Linked DNA regions of Arabidopsis thaliana. The protein of the gene in region 1 interacts with the protein of each later gene in a biochemical or structural test. Each region holds a gene or a part of one and is shown on either strand. Other genes may lie near its edges. The genes, in order: RMA2 and ABP1.

Region 1 (10,358 bases):
AAGACAATACTCTGCTTCATTTCTCGTTGTGGTCTGTTACAAGCCGTTAAAATTTCTCACCTGGGCTCTTCTCTGTTTGGGCCTAACAATCTATTTCAGCCCAAATTGTAACCTAGTTTAGTAGTTTTAGCTCCACTCGGTTAGCTCTTTAAACCAGAAACGAATACTAAACCAGATGGACTTGAACCAATATTCTCACAGCAAGCAACAACAGCCAATGATCAGGTTGCAAATATGTAGCTTTATCTACTACACACACTAACACAGATATATAAGTTTGATGACTTCAGCGGTAAATATTTGTTATATGATTACTGAAATATGTATACTTATCCTAGTATATGAGATTTCTATTTGAAAGGTAACAAAAAAGATTAGAAAATGTTAAACTCCTCCTTGTGAACACCATTAGCATTTTAATCTTCAAGAATTATGTTCTGTAGCCATGAACTTAGGCCTACACAACAAAAACAAGGTTGCCTGTGTCAATCAATACAAGATGTGTGGTCAAATGAAGAATATAACTAAAGTTAGGGGTTGAATATCGAAAGATATAAAAAGCTAAGGAGTCGAAATAAAATAATGAGGAATAAGTTTCTCATTTAATTCTTAACAAAATAAACTAATGTTGAAGTTTATCCATCCCAGCGGGACATGGTATCTCTTTTCAGAAAATTCGAATCTCACACCAATAATAAAAAGAAACTAGACGACAAAAATAAAACTAAAAAGTAGATCTCCACCGTCCATCTAAAATCCAACGGTTAATAATTGATACACACATGCTTTCCGTGAATACTTTAAATACAAGAATTAATTTCCACGAGTAAAAAGAGGAGACAAGCTTTTCTTCAATTTCGGTTAAACCATTTTCGTTCTTTCTTCTTTTAACAAGAAACCACCGCTCTGTACAAAACAAAGTCTCCGTCGTTTCTTCTCCGTTCTCCGGTCAATTCGAATTCCTCAGAGAGAAATTTGTGCTCGCGAGTTCCGCGTGAAATACATGGAAATGTTGGCGGCGTTGGACTCGCGTTCTTCTCTCCATCTTCATCGTTCCATGTCTCGCGTTGACCTTTTTGCCGGTGTTCGTATGAAACCATCTCCTACAAGTCCTGTTCCGAATACGCCTCGAATATGTGGAAGTAAACTCTGTTGATTCGACTCTTCCTCTTCCCTTTAGTAGTTCCTCCGTTTGTTTTTCCTTTGCATCTGAATTTCCAGATCCAATCGAAGCTGTGATTACCTGTAGCGTCTTGTGTAGTCTTATTTTAGGTAAGTGATCTTTTCTGGTGAAGAATTTAGAAGATTGTGTTTGTACTCTGAAACTTCTTAGGATTGTGGAATTGGGGGTTTTCTTTTAGGGTTTGTTGAGTCGTGAAGTTGTTTGTGTCTGTTGGATCTCTGAATGGCTGAGAAGAAAGAATTAGGGTTACCAAAGCCTAGTATTAATTTGAAAGAGCAATTAGCAAGAACTACTCTGAAGAATCTGAGGTTACAAGGGCATACTTACATTGAGCTACGTGAGGATGGGAAACGTTTTGTATTCTTCTGCACTTTGTGTCTTGCTCCTTGCTACAGCGACACAATCTTGCTTGGGCACTTGAATGGAAACCTTCACAAGGAGAGATTGGCATGTGCTAGGATCACACTTCTTGGAACGAATCCTTGGCCTTTCAGTGATGGTGTACTTTTCTTTGATAGTTCAACTGGAGAAGAAGAAGAGAAATCTCCAGTTTCTGGTGGTGAAGGGGTTCCTGATACGTTGGAGCATTGTAGTGATGATGAAAGATTTGCTATTGTCAAGTATGATAACAACAAAACAAATGGAGATAATGTGCCTGCTGCAGTTACTGATGATGAACCTAGTCACGCTGCAGATGATCTGCTAATTTCTGGTGTGCTGATCAAGGAGAGAACTCTTGATGTTGAAGCAAAGTTCATTGGTTTTGGCCGAATAGCTGCCAGGTTGTTTGAAACGAAAGGACGCACAACTTGGATTGATAAACTATGGTGCGAGTGGTTAGGAGACGAGGGTCCTTCAGATGAGGAGAAGGCTACGATCCCGGAGCATGACTTTGCCATTGTCACATTCTCCTACTTCTACAATTTGGGTAGGCTGGGTTTGCTTGATGATCCGGGCCGTCTTCTCACATCTAGTCAGTCAGAATCAGGGAATGGTGAGGACAGTGGCAGGAAGAGAAAGAAGTCTTTCTCGGATCCAGAGGACACCAGTGAATCTCTGTGTAATCAGTATGACTCTTCTGAGGAGGTTTCTTCAGGTCATAATTCAAACTCGTCAAGAGATCTAATAGCTGATTATGATGATAGTCTCATGAGCAAAAGAGTCGTGAAGAACAGAACGGTAAGACGGGAGCTGAGGAGGCAACAACGAATATTTTCTGAAAGAATATGCGAAGTCTGTAAACAAAAGATGCTTCCAGGGAAAGATGCGGCAGCAATACTAAACATGAAGACGGGAAATCTTGCTTGTGGCAGCAGAAACCTCCTGGGGGCGTTTCATCTATTTCATGTGTCGTGTGTCGTACACTGGTTTCTCTTCTGTGAGAGTGAAATACTTGGGAACAAGATGGTGAGTGGAAAAGGAAAAAAGAGATGCACAAAGCATAGTGGTCAGACTGGTGTAAAGTGGAATGAGTTGGCAAACGATGTGAGCTGGCAAATATTTTCGGTGTTCTGTCCAGAATGCCAAGGCACTGGCATAAATATCGAAGGAGCTGTGATTGAGAGAGACACGTTTCCACTTTCTCAGGTATATATGTGTTTGATTCACTCAAATAGCGTTTTTCTTAACGGGTTTGAACCTAACGTATATGTCGATGTGGTAGACATGGAGGTTCCAGGTGAAAGTGAGTGAAGGTAGAAAAGCATGGGTTAAAAATCCGGAGAGATTGAAGAATTGCTCAACCGGATTTCATTTTCCGCAGCAGGCTGAGGAGACGGAACAGATTCCGGTTCAGGTAAATATTATTGCACCTCGTATCCATTTTTTATTGTCGTGTTACAAACTTGGTGGTAAATAGAGAGATCAAAATGTGGATGATGCAGGAGGAGAGAGTGCAGATGATGAAACTGGTTCGCTTCTACCGAGTGGAGTTGTAATGTAGGAAACATACTCATTTCCTCTTGTGTAAATAAGGGCTTCGTCTCTCATTTTACAGTTCACTGTAAATTTACATTTACTTTCTTACTATCTGATGATTACTTTGAAGCCCAATTTATTCTTTTGTCTCAACTTGTTTTCCTGTCTAGAGATTTATGACTTAAAACTGTATAGATACCAACAAGGAAATTCGAACTTTTTAAAACCTATAAGAAGTGGAAATAGGCAAATTAAATTAAAACTTTTGCAGATAGAAAAAATCGATCCCATGAATGAGGGATTGTCTCGATCGGACCCGACCCATAAGGCCATGAACTCATCTCATACTAGTCTATGCTTTTAATGAAACCAGCTCACTCCAATCACTTTACCAATTTTCTTTGCAACATTTTTAATGTATAAAGAAAGACTCGTACTGCAAATTAATGTTTCTACTTCTTTATCTAACAGTCGTATTCGATTCGCCGTTATCAATCAAATCTAGGGCCCCCTATTCTCACTTTTTTTTTTCTTTTTTTTTGTAAAAGTTGGTTTGGTTTTAAACGATTGTAATCCGACATAAGCAACACCATTTGCGTCGCATTCGAATGCCACTATCAGCTTTTTTGGAGCACAAATCTATTTGAGTTGAAGATAAGCCTCCTTTTTAACCCATGCTCTCATCTTCCCACATCATCCCATGATATATCGAATAAAGAAGAAGCCATTTGGTGTCGTTTCTTTCTTTGGACGTTATTATATGCTCATCATACAATTTCAACGATTCAAGACTCTTAAAAATATACAAATTGTTATTACATATATGCATACTCATTCCAATTGGTATATTATATACACATATATATTATAATTAGAAGAGAAATAGACACATAAACATGAAGCAAAGTAGAAACAAGTAGACTCTGCTTAATGACTCCTCAGCCTGCATTGCCCGTCGCCTAGACCGGACATTCATATCGCGGTAAGGTGCCATGTTGCTCGAAGACTCTCCAAATAGTCTCCGGTATACCATTTCGCATACCACACCCATCACCGGATCAGGCATTCTATACATGTAACGTTGACTCTCCCCTTCTCCTAAACGTTGACCAACTCCTCTTAAGTCATAAACCGGACCAGTTGGTCTGCTCGGTACATTTGAACCGGACTGGGGAGCTTTCTGTCCTCGTCCGTAGATCGGGACAAGCGTAGCCTCGGAGACATCAGATTTGCATACCGGACATTTTGGTGGTTCCCTCTTATGATCGTATTGATCGACTCGTTGTCTTGAATTGTTGGACGCATAAGTCCACTTGTGAATGCAGGGCCAACAAAACAGGTGGCCACATAAAGTCACGACCGGGTCTCGAACCTGATCCAAACATATGTTGCAGTCGAAGTCTCCTCCAGAATCAACCAATGTTGTGTCGTCCTCATCCTTCTCAATCTCCATTTTACTAAAACATACAAGACAAACAACCATTCACTTGACCAGTCGTTGTTTATTTAATGAGATTTCACCTAAATAAGTAAATAGTAAATACTAAAGTCTAATTCCAATTAGAGATTTATAAAATCAATGATACTTCATAGAAACAAGAAATATCATCAAAATATGAAGATCAATATAGATTATAACAGAATTGTTGTGTATATACTTAGCATGATCGATCTTGAATTTAAAACTTACACTAACCAAAAAAAAAAAAGAAGAAGATTAGACGCAAAAAAGTAAGGATCATATTCTTTAACAAGTTGAAGTTACGAAGACTTGACCTAATCACTTTCTGTTTCCGACGCTTTGCTCTGTTTTCACTTAATCCCAAAGCACGTTATTGTTTAAGAAAAAAAGCTAAATAATTAAAGACAAAGGAGTGGTTGATTAAACAAACAAGTGATATTATGATCCTTTAAAAAATGACATGGTATATCGAAAACAATCATCTTCTTGCGTAGCAACTCAAAAACGGTGCAGATCTACTACTAATTCGATGCCTTTAGATAGACACACGCAACAATATATAATAAGAGTGATGATTCCAGAAAAAAGAAACGTACTCTTTGGAAAGATTGTAAGTACCGATGGATCTCTTCTGTCTTTAAGCCTTTGGAAACTTGAGAGAGCTTGTACAGGTTCATGCGACAATGGCAGAAGAACAGAGAAAATGATTTATTTGGGTTAAGAGAATGGGGTAAGAATGTTTAGATCGAGGGTGGTGCAGAAGCAGGAGACCTTATTATACACACATACACAATTATTTTTATTCTTATTTTCTTAAGGTGTGCAAAATTAAAATCCGGACAAGTTATGATTTTAAAGAGGAAGAAACGTCTACCTAATTAAAAATAAGTAGATAAAGTAACGAAACGCCATTCATCTTTTTTTTCTTACATGTCTGTCTTTATTTCATGAAAAGGTCAGCAACGGATAGCATCGTTTTAAAAAAAAGTAAACAAGATAATATAATTATTTATACACAACTAAATATATATTTATAGAAAAATATTTATTTTAGTTTGAATAAAATTGTATGTTGAAAAAAAAGTATGAATTGGAAATATGCCCTAATGAGTCCATGAGACCATGACTTTTGTAGGGGAAATATACACAGAAATTGCAAAATTCCCCCATAACTTTATCCCAATATCATATTCATAAGATAAGAATTTGGCTCTGAAAAAAACAAAAGATAAGAATTTGGCAGTTTCTGTTTCTGGCAACACAATAGTAGATACTGAACCAAGCTCGATGACGTGGCACTCCATGGCTGCACCGTTACTCCATCAAATTCACTTGAAAAAAAAAACAAAAAAAAAATGCTAGTAATTTTGAAAATTCTGCTTATTTTGGTACTTTACTTTTTTTTTTATGGAAATTGTAACTATTAGGTGTTGAGTGAATAACAATGGCAATTTGGTAAGTTGTTTATTCAAAGTTGGAACTGGAGAATACTAAGTTTGCGACTAAAGCCTTAATCAAAGGCCTTATCAACCAATAGTTGAATTAGTTTATAGACCACAAAGATAATTAGGTTACACGTCACGGAAGCAAGGAGCTATTGGTGTCACCAGACCATAGTATTTAATTTCAAGTCTATTAATTGTAGAAGGCAACCCAAAATCCACTCCTTGAAATAATAAAACACTGTCTTAAATTCGTATTTGTTGAGTCCTTCACCACCATTATGTCTGATTCTGCTTATATACAAATTTAAGTAAGGTTGTTAGACGGTTCATGTCTCCGAATCTTTGATCAATTGTAAAGTGTAATGTAAAATAGTTTTTTTTTTTTTTAATTTTAAATTTGCGACTACTATATCTAAAAGTCTACTATCAACTACAACTTCACTTGTAAATTGTAATACTCTCGAATAGATCATTTTTGATGAAACAAGTTAGACAATCATCCAAAATTAATCACCAATTTGAGTGCCTCCGAATTTATTCACAATATTCATTATTGAAAAGCATTTTTGGATATGGCCAACCAATAAAATGAAAATTGAACTTTAAAAAAAAAAAACTACTATACCAACAATGTAAAAACAATGTGTGTGTTCACCATCATTAGAACAAGATCTACTCAATGTTTTAAATGTATATATAATATGTTTTGCGCAAAAAAACGTATATGTAATATTATATATATCACGTTCATGATAATGTTTTCAAATTCTCATATGAAATTATTGGAGCAAGTTGCATTTACGATCCGGAGAACTGAGCCAAGAAATGGGCGGTTCTCAATTTATTATGGGTATTATTAACCAGTGGTGGTTGAACCAAAATTAATCTATTCATTTTCTCTATCAAACTTTTTGTTACTTTGATGGTTTGTCTCAATCGATTAAAATAGTAACTAGTTATTTTGTTTTGGCATGTCACTGAATTGATGTTGTTTCTTCTAATTTATGATCCGCTATATCCGCAGCATTTTTCTCTCCTCCTATAACTCTAATGGAAACAGGAAAAAGAAAAAACAAGAAACGATTAGAAACTCAAATGTGACAAAAAGTCAAAAAATAGAGGAGGAAACAAAAACATGAAGATTACTCATCATTGTTTGGTTTCTCTTCTCTCTATCCTCCTTTTGTCTGGATTCGCTTTCTCTCATCACATCTCTCGTAAATTACAATTATCTAATACTTTTACTCGTTTTATTAAAAATATTGTTGAAGTTTCTTTGAAATAATTTATGACATTTCTATGTGCAGTTGATGAATTTGAGTCACACCCATCCACAAGCCGAGCTCTTCTTCAGGCAAAGGCAAGTAAGTAATATAACTCCCAAAATTTACACCATTGATTGTAATCATGTGTTTTAGAAACAAGCTTCATTGATGATTATTAGCTTAATAAGCAAAATATTCCATGATCATTACGTTAATGACATTTTAACAGCATGCAAAGAAGATTTTGCGGCAAAGAATTACACAATCATAACGAGTAAATGCAAAGGACCAAATTACCCGGCCAAAGTATGTTGTTCGGCCTTCAAGGACTTTGCTTGCCCATTCGCGGAAGTTCTTAACGATGAAAAGACAGATTGTGCCTCCACAATGTTTAGCTACATCAATCTCTACGGTCGTTATCCTCCTGGAATATTCGCTAACATGTGCAAAGAAGGCAAAGAAGGTCTCGATTGCACCGACGTCACCCCTACATCATCTTCCCATGCATCGATCCCTCTTGTTTCCACACACGTTTTGCTAATCACCGTTTCCATCTTGTTTCACCTCTTCTAAAGACTTGTAAATGTTACAATATGAGTTATATATTGCATTCCATTGTTAGTTGCTTTGTGAGCATAGATGTAAATGTTTGATTTTTGTTTGCACTCTCATTAACATCATTCGTTATGCCCGGTGTCGATAACTCTACCAGTCGACCTTAAGGAACTCAAGGGATTGCATGACTAAGTTCCGAGTTCCAATCCTAGGCAATGAATAATAATTCTAGAACATGTGTGTTTGGTACACATCATAACACTAGCATTCCTAACATGTTTTGTGGATCAAGAACATGTGTGTTTGGTCATTAATGGGCTGAGCTAATCTCTTAGGCCATATAGAGTCACTAGTTTATTTATGAAGACATGTTTGGTAAACCAAATAGAAGAAACATGAACCTCATAAATCATGCCTCTTGTCTTGGTGGTACACTTTAAGCCGAAGTTACAATAGTGATGTGAAAGAAAGAAAAAAAACGAAACTTAAAATCAGTAAATCTTTGTAGTTAATCAAATGGGGTAAACAATAAGAACCCTTACAAATCAGAACAATGCAAATGTTATCGGTGAGCAGTAACAAGCGTCTCGATGAATCGTAACCCATCAAACCTTGGAGCAAACTTCTCATCTCCCCCATCTTCCGACGAACCCTTCTTCTTCCTCTGTTTTTCCTTTGCCTCCTAACCACAATCAGCAGCTAAAAATTATTCTTTACACATCCGAATCCATGTAAAAGTTAAAAACTCTCCAACTTTGTAATTTGATAAATTTTTGACTATGAGAAACTTATTGTGAGTACTTGAAACAGAGGAGGAACTTTAAATGCTACCGAGAAACAAATAAACAAGAGCTTGATTCTTCTTTTTTTACCTGACGAGAGAGATTAGATTCCGGCGAAGAGAATGACACGGAGGTGTTGGTAGAGCCGGCGGAGATCGCCGTGGCAGAAGCCGCGACAGAGATGGAGGCTGCGATGATTCCAGTTTTCTTCATGTCTTGATCTTAAACTTTCCCAAATTCGTGGACTCTGTTTATACTTTTTTTTGTTTTTCTGTGTTAATAAAATAAAATCTGCAACCGTAGGCAGATGAGAGAAAAATGTGGGAAAAATTGAGGTGTTGGCTTCGATAGTCGACGGTTTATATACGCAATGGGGACAAAAGTTAAATTACGCTAGTTGACCAATTTATGTATCGATAAAGTATGTTACCGTTTTACCCTTTTCTAAATACCTTAAGCATGATTTAATTGCGTTAATTACAGCTAAGATCATTGGTAAACGTTTTTGAATAGAATGATTTATCTTCTAGAAGAATTTAATTGGAGTAAGAATGGGTAGCGTGAAAAATAAGGGGGTTAGTATGGTCAAAGCATTAGAAAAAAAGAAATGTACTTTGAGCCTTGAAGTCAGAACCACACAAAGAGAAACATGATTGGTTGATCTGTTAAATGAAAATGGGTCCATCGTTGGTTGGTAAGTAACCCACGTGTCCGGACAATGTTGCAACTATGAGTTGGTGTTTTGAGAATGTTAAAAGTCAGCTTTGTATTGGACGATTATGCCCCTCTTATTTCTCGTTTATTACTGTTGGTATTGTATGCTCATAAGATAAGGTTCAAGAAAAGAAATGTTCATAAGATAAGGTCGAAACACTAAATGACGGGTGAACAATGGCATTGAACAAGTGGATCTGATTATTTGTCTTTGAGAGCATATCTCAAATGCAAATTGATGTAAACTGATTTGTGGATACCAAACCTAACAAGTCCCATATGGTTTTCTGGTGAGATTTCTCTGCGTCAAATTTAATGTTGAACACATTTATTCTTTGATAAAGACATCACAATCTCGTTAAGTTTTAATACTCGTCTCTATATATTTTACGTCCGGTCACTATTTATGAAAAAAACAGAGTAGTAGAATAAGTTATTAACACATGATCGTACAAAAGCATCTTATGGTGACGTATAGGATCATAATGATATGATTAATAAAGTTTTGATTAAAGATGTATGGATACAAATGAAAGAAAAAAGTTTGCGGCTATATCTCTTTAGGGATGGGTTCTTAATAATTAAAATTACTTTTGAAGGACTTTATCGTTTGCGCAATCTCATAATCATGTCCACATATCTCTACTTTTTCACCGGCCAAAACTTATTCGGTCCATATCCGTATCTTAACGTGAATTATTGATCATGCCGCAAGACCAACAAGCCCACAACTTATTTTACTCTTACATGTGTAAAACAATTAACAACCACAGTGATTGTGGACAGGAGAAGATGAAACAACTCAATGTAAGTAACCCAACACAACCGGTCAATCGGTCATTCTTGTGAACTGGTTTCATTACAAGAACGTGTACCAACTATCTCTAAGCAAACATGCAGAGGCTATGATATCATACATCATATATCAACAAGTTACCAAAAAAAACACTCGTACAGTCGTACTCTTGATGTAACTTCCAAATAATTTTTATATATAACCGGTTCATGTTTCTGGTACATGCTGACAACTACAAT
Region 2 (10,333 bases), about 13 Mb from region 1:
TTGACGAGAACGATTTCTTCAGCGTGAGTAGCCATTGAAGGAGAGAGAACGAAGAAAGAGGAAAAATTTTTTTTTAATTTTTTTTATTTTTTTATGGATCTAAGCTCTTGATACCATATAGATGTTTATAGAAGAGATGATTTCATTACATAGTGAGAATCACAATATATATACAAGAGTGAGTAGCTAGGGTACATCAACGTAATGAATGAGAATATATACGACTTTACATATGTGTATCCATGACAGTAGCAATCTAGGATATCAATCATATCCTCAATAGAATCTTTATTGACAAAACAGAGCAAAAGACAGTAAAGTTTCTTGCTTTATTCAAAAACTAAAACCAAAGAAAAATCACATTACTAATTTGCTTATAAACACTCTGCGACTAATAACCGTTGGATCATATCAGTAAGGAGAGAAATCGACGGTTAGAATTCTTTGACTAGTGATATTTAAGCCAAATCACGAAATTAGCAAACTCTCGTCACAAATCATCAGTTTCTCTTTCTCTCTTCCTCATTAGTCTCTCTCCACTGATCTTGAAACTACAACGATGAACGTGTACATCGATACTGAGACTGGCTCATCGTTCTCCATTACTATTGATTTCGGCGAAACAGTGTTAGAGATAAAAGAGAAGATCGAGAAGTCTCAAGGTATCCCTGTTTCGAAACAAATCCTTTACTTGGATGGCAAGGCTCTTGAAGATGATCTTCATAAGATTGATTACATGATCCTCTTCGAATCTCGTCTCCTTCTCCGCATCTCTCCTGATGCTGACCCTAATCAGAGCAACGAGCAAACCGAGCAATCAAAACAAATTGATGATAAGAAACAAGAGTTCTGTGGCATTCAAGATTCATCGGAGAGCAAAAAGATCACGAGGGTGATGGCGAGGAGAGTCCACAATATATATTCATCACTACCGGCTTATTCACTTGATGAGTTACTTGGCCCTAAATATTCAGCAACTGTGGCGGTTGGAGGCAGAACAAATCAAGTGGTTCAACCCACCGAGCAAGCTTCAACGTCAGGCACAGCCAAAGAGGTCCTTAGAGATTCAGATTCGCCTGTGGAAAAGAAGATCAAGACCAACCCGATGAAGTTTACAGTACATGTGAAGCCATATCAAGAAGATACCAGGATGATTCATGTAGAGGTTAACGCAGATGATAACGTCGAAGAACTGAGGAAAGAGCTGGTTAAGATGCAAGAGAGGGGTGAGTTAAATCTGCCTCACGAAGCGTTTCACTTGGTAAGCAGTGAGTTACCATTGACCGAAACTAAGTCATTCAAGTGGAACCGTGTTGCTGATGGCGATACAATTGAGATTATCCGTAGACTCGTGCCTTTTTGCAGTCTCCTCTTTTCTCATACCTAGTTTTTAGTCTTTCTTCAAGTTTTCTTGCTTTGTTCAAAGTTCATAGCTTTCTTCAAATATGCTAAGACATGTAAGTTCATAGCTTTCTTCTTGAGTTACATCTTTTCGAAATTAGCTCTGTACATTCTCTAGAAAACATTACGATCGGGTGGTCTAGTTCACATTTCTTTTGGTATTTTTCAATGTCTAGTTACAGCAACAAGTATGAAGATCAAATGTTGAATCTTTGTTGATAAAACAGGGCAGAAAGACAGTAAAGTCTCTTGCTTTACTCAAAAACTTAACCAAAAAAACAATCAAAATACTAATTGCGTCAAAACACTCTGCAACTAATGAACGATAACGTGAAAGAACTGAGAAACGAGTTGATGAAGATTGAAGAGGAAGGTGAGTAAAAGCTGCCTCAAGAAGGGTATTTTCTTATACACAAAAACAGAGTATTGAAAGAGAATCAGTCATTCTCTTGCTTTGTTCAAAGTTTGCTTTTGTTCCCTCTTAAAATATAAACAAAAAGCGTAGAAAGTTTTGGAAAACAAAAATCAAAAGAGGGAAAAAAATGGTGGTTCATATGAGATCGGACCAGCAGGCCATAGTGGTTCTGAGCGACGCTAAACCGTGATCCGTCCACTGCTGTAAGCGGGAAGTAGTCGCTGCTCTGTGAAGCCAGCCTCACGCATTACCCTCCGACTCTAGAACCTGCATGAGCCAAGCCTTCGCTCAACTCAACACTAATTACTCACAGCTTGGACTGGGCAGCTCAGAAACATGCCCACATCAGAACCGATCCGAGGAACCGAACCAGTGTCCCACCATCTTAATGTCCCCACATGGGTTACAAGCTATTGTTACTTAGCTCGACGTTGAATACATCGTTTCGTGTAATATATAAACAAACACAAAACGAGTAGATTGACCGATGTGGGACAAAAGACTCTGAAAATTAGTTTTGATTTGTGAATTTATCTTTTATGATGTGGGCCAAAGCCTTATTTTGAGTCCCATTATAGACTAACCAAAAGCCCAATAGTAATATTGAAGAGACAGATTTGAGATGGAAGAAGAGAGAAAGGGGCAAAGAAAGCAAATGCAAGAAGAAGAGTTATTATTTGATGAGACTTCGTTAGTTTGCATTTAACATCGAGCCAATTCAGCCACTACTAGATTTGTGAGTGTCATTGATCACTTTCTCACATGGAGACAAAATAAACGACTGCATCATCAACTTCTTCGAAGAGGTATATATATATCAAGACAAGACACAAAAAAAGCTATGATTCTGATGTCCTCTTGTCTTCGAAGAGCTATGATTTGAATATAGAAGAGGAAAATAAAAGTGAGTGAAACTCTATAAATTTATCGCAAATGCAATCAAGATGTGCACACTTACATATTTTCATGACCAATAGGACTCACTTACTTAAGAACATCAAAGATTGAACATTTATTTACTTTCTGGTAACAACAACATTCATGTAAAATCCTTGCCAATTTACCAGTATCTACGTAGTGTCACAAAACCTCAACTATGATTTTACTATCTAAAGGTTGTGCTTGCTTTTAGCCTCGGACTTTGCTTTAAAGCTCGTCTTTTTGTGATTCTTGAATGCATTGCTCATCCCAATAGTAAGGGAACTTCAGCCTTGCAGCAGTGTGTGGCATAAACCAGTCTTCGTAGATGAAGCTATTTAAAAACAAACGATTAGTAAAAGGATACATCTACACATAATGATCTATAAGCAAATTCCTCAAAAAGGATGTTACATACATTTTAATAGGCGGCCGAGATATGATAACCAACACCTGCAGGTCCTCATGACCGGTGTTTTTGACCTGTAAGAACCGTAATAGATGATTGTGAGCTAGTTTCATAAGATAACACAAAAGTTATTTTAGCAGAAGAAAACGTCATCTTTCACTGATTCATAAGAATATACACAACGTTAGCGAAAAGGTCAGTTTTCTAATAATTGTCTCTACATGTGACATAGGACCTGCGGCACCTCTAACACTCTCAAGCAATCTTAAACATAATAGTATGTTTTTGCTCAACTAACATCTGTTGCATACGAAATTGGATTGTTTATCATCAGCCTTACATGGAGTTTCTTTTGCCCTCAATCAAGATTACAATTAAAGGGGAAACTCTAACAATCTAGGATTTCAAACTCTAAGAATCAAGGAAAGAGCCAAGTCATCTGAAACGATGTGGGAGGTAGAAAGAGATACCTGATGAGCATCATTGATCGGAATATGAATTGTACTGTTGGCAAAGATTGGAAATTCGATTGGTTTCCCAGGGAAATTTCCATGTGTTTCAGCGAGATACAGAGTACCACTGCCCTTTAGGACAACAAAAACCTCTTCACAGGAGTGCCTGTGAATTGGTGTCTCTGAACCTGGAGCAAATGTCTGAAGCCATATTTCAACCTGAACATCCAACCATGAAAAAACACAGATAAGAGCCGAGCGGATACCAATGGAAAGAGTTTTAAACCTCTATCAGCTTTGAACATTACCTCTTTCATTCCATGCAATACGGAGCCAGCAACAGTCATGTGGGAAAGACCTGGTCTTCCATAGTTATCCTGAGGAAGGTCACTAATATTCCTCACGATTGGCAAGCCTAGAATCACCATTCAAGAGTCAAGAACCAGTATTAACATCACAATTTCTAAGTATTTAAGCTATGTAAGCATTTCTAAACAAATTTTGGATCCTCTAATAAGCTACAGATCGATGAAATTGCAGCGAATCTGTACCATATCAGCAACCAAATTCACTATGAAGCATTCTGAAACACCTCCATAAACCTAATTTAGAGTTAAAATCAATCACAAGTTCAGCACATTTTGGTCCATCTGATTCTACCAGGACATACGATTTCACAGCTAACTAAGACCTTAGATTCTATCACTGATACATAGATAAACAAGATGAAATCTGCATTCACAATATAACTAGATACAATCTAATGGCGAGTAGGGATGAAAACAGGCGAAACGCACCATTGATGGGACAAGGAGCTCCTAGAGAAGTTTCAGAGAAGTAGAACAGAAGAAGCGCGACGGAAAAGACGACGACGATCGGAGATGAAGAAGCGGAACCAACAGAAAGTACGATCATTTTCTCGATGCTTCGACGAACTAATTTTCCTCTCTTTAGAAGTCTCAGAACTGTTAAAAGAGTAAAGATACTTCGAAACAGACCCCAAAGCTTTATATATTTCTGAATTAAACCCGATACTATAAAAAAGAGTCAGAAAATACTATTTTTCATTTTCGATAATCCAATGTTGAAGATAAAAGGAGGGAATTAATTAATTTTAGAAATATTAAGAGAAAGTTTTGATGATATATAGTTTTTTTATTAATTTATATCACATCCAAAGTAATCATATACGTATTGGTTTAATGTGATAATTTCAGATAGTATAGGGCAATAATGGGAAATATAAGAAATAAGGGGGAGAACGTCAATAATTCGGATAAATCATTTCAATGGAGAAAGAGAGTGACTTTGTTGTGTGATGAGGAAAAAACCTTACCCGCTCCTCTAAAACCCTCGTCTTCTCCGATATCTTTCCTCAGCTCCGGTGAGATTTCAATCACACGCTGGTCCAATTCTCCTTATTCCATAGTTTCTGTGGTTTGCTTCTAGTTAGGTTATGGTTTTTTGGTTCGTTGATGTTAACATGAACATGAATGATGGTATTTTTTCGGAGTTTTCTGAGCTAATTGTACTGTAAAATTGTCTGGGTTAGTCCGAATTGGTATGATTTTCTCGTTGATAATCGTCGATTTTAGTGTTGTTCCGTTTTTGTGCAGGTAAAGAATGAAGATTAGGTTCTGTAATGGCTTCACAAAGCCTGGGTTTTTGCTAGTTCACTTTGAGCCACCATCTTTTTTTGCCGTTAGATCTCGTTCACTCTCTGATTCCACTTATGGCAACTTATGCAACCACAAGAAGAGACCTGGGACTGGAATTGGTCTAACTGTTCAATGCGCTATTGCAAATCGGAGATTTTCTTCACGTTCTTTGGATTCACCGAGAAGAGAAAGGTCTTCTCGTTCTTCTTCTTCTTCGGGAAGGGATAGGGATAGAGATAAGGATAAGGGAAGAGATTCTAAGTCTTTGTATAGTCGTCCTAGTTTGTTAGATATGAATAAGGAGAAAGCTGCTAATCGTGCTAAGGTTTATGAGTTCTTGCGTGGGATTGGGATTGTTCCTGATGAGCTTGATGGCCTTGAACTCCCTGTAACAGCTGATGTGATGAAAGAGCGTGTCGAGTTTCTTCACAAGTTAGGGCTTACCATTGAAGATATCAACAATTACCCTCTTGTTCTTGGTTGTAGCGTGAAGAAGAACATGGTTCCGGTTCTTGATTATCTCGGGAAACTAGGCGTCAGGAAATCGACTTTCACTGAGTTTCTTAGAAGATACCCGCAGGTTCTTCACTCTAGCGTTGTTATAGATCTTGCACCGGTGGTTAAGTATCTTCAAGGACTGGATATTAAACCGAGTGATGTACCTCGGGTGCTTGAGAGGTATCCAGAAGTTTTGGGGTTTAAGCTGGAAGGGACTATGAGCACATCAGTCGCTTATTTGGTTGGTATAGGTGTAGCTAGGAGGGAGATTGGGGGTATTTTAACACGGTACCCTGAGATTTTGGGAATGCGGGTAGCTCGGATAATTAAGCCTCTCGTGGAGTATCTCGAGGTTCTTGGTATTCCGAGACTGGCTGCAGCTAGGTTGATAGAGAAGCGGCCTCACATACTCGGGTTTGAATTGGATGATACGGTGAAACCAAACGTGCAAATCCTGCAAGATTTCAATGTCAGAGAAACATCTCTTCCTTCTATAATTGCGCAGTATCCTGAAATCATCGGAATCGACCTTAAACCTAAGCTCGACACACAGAGGAAGCTACTTTGTTCAGCCATTCATCTAAATCCAGAGGATCTTGGCTCTTTGATCGAGAGAATGCCGCAGTTTGTTAGTCTCAGCGAGTCTCCTATGTTAAAGCACATTGATTTCCTTACCAAGTGTGGATTTTCGATAGACCAAACAAGGGAAATGGTAATCGGGTGTCCTCAGGTTCTGGCTTTGAACCTCGGAATAATGAAACTCAGCTTTGAGTACTTCCAAAAGGAAATGAAAAGACCTCTTCAAGACCTTGTGGATTTCCCCGCATTCTTTACGTATGGGCTTGAGTCCACGGTAAAGCCGAGACACAAGAAGATAATCAAGAAGGGAATCAAATGTTCATTGGCTTGGATGCTAAACTGTTCAGATGAGAAGTTCGAACAGAGAATGAGCTACGACACAATAGATATAGAAGAGGTAGAAACTGATCCATCTTCTTTTGACATGAATACATTGATGCAACCTGAAAGAGAGGAGGAATCTGATTCCGAGTACGAGGAAGAAGAAGATGATGACGACGAGGAGTTTGCATAAACCCGGAGTTCAACAAAGAAAAGGTCCAAATACAGACAATGAATCGAAGAACAAGCTTCATGTCTTGATGTATCATCATCATGAGAGGAGAATGAATGATTTACTTTGAATTTTCGAACAGATTCTTTGTTGATCAGATTAGCATTCTCTCTTATCCATCCTTGTCATCGATTCTTTTGTTCATCATGTTGTTGAAATCAGAACAATATGGACCAGAAATTGTAATGACTAAAATACCCTCAGGGGCAAATCAGTAATTATGATTTTTTTTTTCCTAAGCACCAACCCTCTTTTGTGTTACCCAAAGAAAGAAAATAAAAGCTCACGATCAATTTTGTTGGGCTCCTTCTTCGTCTTGTAGCCACGCACTTGTTCTCTTTATCACAGTGCCCTCTCGCTCTCTGCAACAACACTCTTAATATATATATATATATATTCATCAATCCCTATCTCTCATCGAATTCTCTTCCGATCGTCTTTTTTTCTTCCCGCGGTTTCTTGCGTTTCCGGTCAGTTTGCGGCACCGTGTTTTGTTATTTGGTTGAATGATCAAACGATTTGGTTTTTTATCCTGATTCGATTGCATTCTGATTGAGCTGCTATGTTTGAGAAATCGTGTGTGGAATTGTGTTGATTTGTTCTGGGAATTTAATTAGTTTCTGGAATTTTGCCGATTGTTTTGGTGTTTTCATGAAAAGTTTGCTACTGGAATTTGGGATTATCTCAAAGCTTATTCAATACTTGAATTATTGAATCATTTTTGTTATCTCTGTGTTTATAATTTGGAAACAATCATAATCTCAGGGAATTATTGCTTAATGGTTGAGAAGCAAGAAGAAATGAATGAGTTTGGTGCTGTCAATGGTGGGAAAGTGGGGACGTCTTCTTCAGTGTCACCACCGCAAGATAAAGGAAGGAAGAACAAGAGAAAGTTAGCTGATCCTTCTCCACAAAATGCTGCTTCTTTGACTGAGTTCCCTCGATATGAGTTACATTCGTTCAAATCTCAAAGCCCTTTGTGTGAAAATGACTCCAACGGGCAGCTGAAAGCCGAAGAGTCTGATTCTGTGGGATGGGATGATCCGTTTGCTTGTCACCTTGAAGGACTATTATCGTCAAATTTGCTCACGCTCTTTCGTAGTGCAATGAATCAGATTATGGATTGTGGGTATAGTGAGGATGTTGTTCTCAAAGCTATTTCAAGCAGTAGGTTCTACTGTGGTGGAACTGATCTCGTGTCTAATATTGTTAACGATACCTTGAGTTTTTTGAAGAGTGGCAAAAAAGTTGCTGGTTCCAGAGACTATGTGTTTGAGGATTTGCAACAGCTTGTTGCGTATAGTTTGGTAGAGAAGATAAGTCTTGTTAGGGAGGTTAGACCATCGCTTTCAACGGACGAAGCTATGTGGAGGCTGTTGATTTGTGACTTGAATGTTTTGAAAGCTTTTGAAGTGGACGCAGATGGATTGGAGGGCTCTTCGGTTTCCAATGCTAGTAAATCATCGGAATCTCCAGTTGCTGAGTGTAATCCTCCAAAATCCAGTGACGCAGATAACCCAAAGGCTCCAGTATCCAATACTCAAAGCAAGCAGAGTGAGCCAGTCAAATTTGGGAACTTCGCAAATGTAAACAACTCCAAAAATCCTCATGCTAGTGGAGCAACACCTGGAAAAGAGGTATTTTCTGTTTCCACTGCTTCTGGTGAAGGCACTAAAAGTGCATCCCTGACTTCTGTTTCTGATGAAAAATTAGTATCTTGTCGAAAAGGCCGCACCAAAAAAGAAATGGCCATGCTACGGCAGAAATCATGCGTGGAGAAGATTAGAACTTATAGCAAAGGCGGTGGCTATAAGACGGCAAAGTTTGGTGGTTTCCTTGTGGAGAAAAGAGGCAAATCAGCTTCTGATTTACTTTCCGCACAGGCAAGAAATTCTTCATCAAAGATTACAACAGAGGTTATGAAAATTCCTTTAGCTGAGAGTAGCAGCACTCTCTCAAACAGTACTAAGTCAGATTCGCCTGCATTAGATGTTAAGGAGCATGTTACTGCATTACCTGCTAATAATGCTCCAGCACCAGTAGCTTCAGAAAAGAAGTCCGGTTCTGAGCCTGAAGAAAAGCCTTCTGTGTCTACGAAACCAGCACCAGATTACTATGCTGCAATCCCATACGATGCAACTCTGGGAATATATATTCCCCGGAATAAAAGAGATGAATTGATTTTAAAGCTAGTTCCCCGAATGAAAGATCTGCAGAAAGAATTGCAGGATTGGACTGACTGGGCTAATCAGAAAGTAAAACAGGCTACTGTTAGACTTCTTAAGGACCAACCAGAGCTTAAGGCACTAAGAAAAGAGAAAGAAGAGGCAGAAGAGTTCAGAAAAGAGAAGCAGTTATTGGAAGAAAACACTATTAAAAGGAGATCTGAAATGGAGTTGGCCTTGAATAACGCAACCAACCAGCTTGAGAGAACTAACAACACAATTCGCAGGCTCGAGCTGGAACAATCTCTGTTAAAGAGAGAGAGGGAAGCTGCTAATATAAGAGCTTCCGAGTCCGCTGAGAGCTGTAGAGAAGCAAAGGAGAGAGTGCAAAGATTGTTGAAGAATTCTCAATCGTGGGAAGGGCAAAAAAATTTACTGCAGGAAGAGCTCAAGAGTCAAAGAGACAAGGTGGCAGGGCTGCAGCAAGAAGTTGCCAAGGCAAAAACCCGCCAAAACCAAATTGAGGTTAGCTCTTTTGTAGGCAAAATGCCTTTGCACGTTTTAGGTCTTCTCGTCTTCGGAGCTGTAATTTATTGTATGACAACTGATCATATCATTTCCTCTACAATTCTTTTTTCAGGTAATCATTTCATTTCTAAGGAATTAGAGAAATTGGAGGGATAATATGTTTACATCTGAGAGTCTACCTTTATACTTCTTGTGCCGTGTTCTTTAAATCAAGAACTAACCATAGTATTGTACTAGTAACTGATTGTAGTCTAAGTGTGGTAGCTATCATCAAGATGACTAATGAAACTAAGTTGCAGGCTACTTGGAAACAAGAAAAGTCAGCGACGGGGAAACTCACTGCTCAAGCAGCTGCATTAAAGAAAGAGAGAGGGAAACTGGAAGAACTCGGAAAAGCAGAAGAAGAGCGGATCAAAACAAAAGCAGAGAACGATGTGAAATACTACATTGAGAACATCAAAAGACTTGACACTGAGATCTCAAAGCTGAAACTCAAGTCAGACAGCTTGAAGATAGCTGCTTTGAAAAAAGGCATAGACGGAAACAATGACGGTAACAAGAGTGGAATGAATCATACCACCAACACAAAGGCAAACTCGATGGCATCAGCAAAAGTATGGGAGAATAATCAGGGGGCAGAGTCGAAAATCAAAAGAGAGAGGGAATGTGTGATGTGTTTGTCTGAAGAGATGAGTGTGATATTCTTGCCTTGTGCCCATCAGGTTCTTTGCTCTAAATGTAACCAGCTTCATGAGAA

What was found.
Region 2: the proteins of RMA2 (region 1) and ABP1 form a complex in vitro, tested with the Arabidopsis thaliana proteins (one study listed by BioGRID).

What each region holds. Positions count from the first base shown.
Region 1 is NC_003075.7:14,003,643-14,014,000, forward strand, and holds RMA2 (RING membrane-anchor 2), read right to left. Parts: upstream 5,646-10,358; 5' UTR 5,159-5,645; intron 4,558-5,158; 5' UTR 4,554-4,557; coding exon 3,972-4,553; 3' UTR 3,833-3,971; downstream 1-3,832. Other genes in the region: AT4G28260 (acyl-UDP-N-acetylglucosamine O-acyltransferase), read left to right, coding at 1,406-2,770, 2,847-2,978, 3,067-3,120; LLG3 (LORELEI-LIKE-GPI ANCHORED PROTEIN 3), read left to right, coding at 7,143-7,224, 7,315-7,371, 7,502-7,845; AT4G28290 (uncharacterized protein), read right to left, coding at 8,390-8,509, 8,700-8,822. UniProt on the Arabidopsis thaliana protein: E3 ubiquitin-protein ligase that promotes the ubiquitination and proteasomal degradation of the auxin-binding protein ERABP1.
Region 2 is NC_003075.7:1,316,940-1,327,272, forward strand, and holds ABP1 (endoplasmic reticulum auxin binding protein 1), read right to left. Parts: upstream 4,670-10,333; 5' UTR 4,511-4,669; coding exon 4,393-4,510; intron 4,011-4,392; coding exon 3,904-4,010; intron 3,815-3,903; coding exon 3,614-3,814; intron 3,218-3,613; coding exon 3,153-3,217; intron 3,069-3,152; coding exon 2,963-3,068; 3' UTR 2,664-2,962; downstream 1-2,663. Other genes in the region: AT7SL-1 (7SL RNA1), read left to right, coding at 560-1,261, 2,130-2,240; BSM (Mitochondrial transcription termination factor family protein), read left to right, coding at 5,219-6,844; AT4G03000 (RING/U-box superfamily protein), read left to right, coding at 7,663-9,573, 9,876-10,333. UniProt on the Arabidopsis thaliana protein: Auxin receptor that controls cell elongation and cell division. Involved in embryonic morphogenesis. Acts on the cell cycle, endocycle, cell plate formation, and cell expansion and contributes to the control of auxin-related gene expression.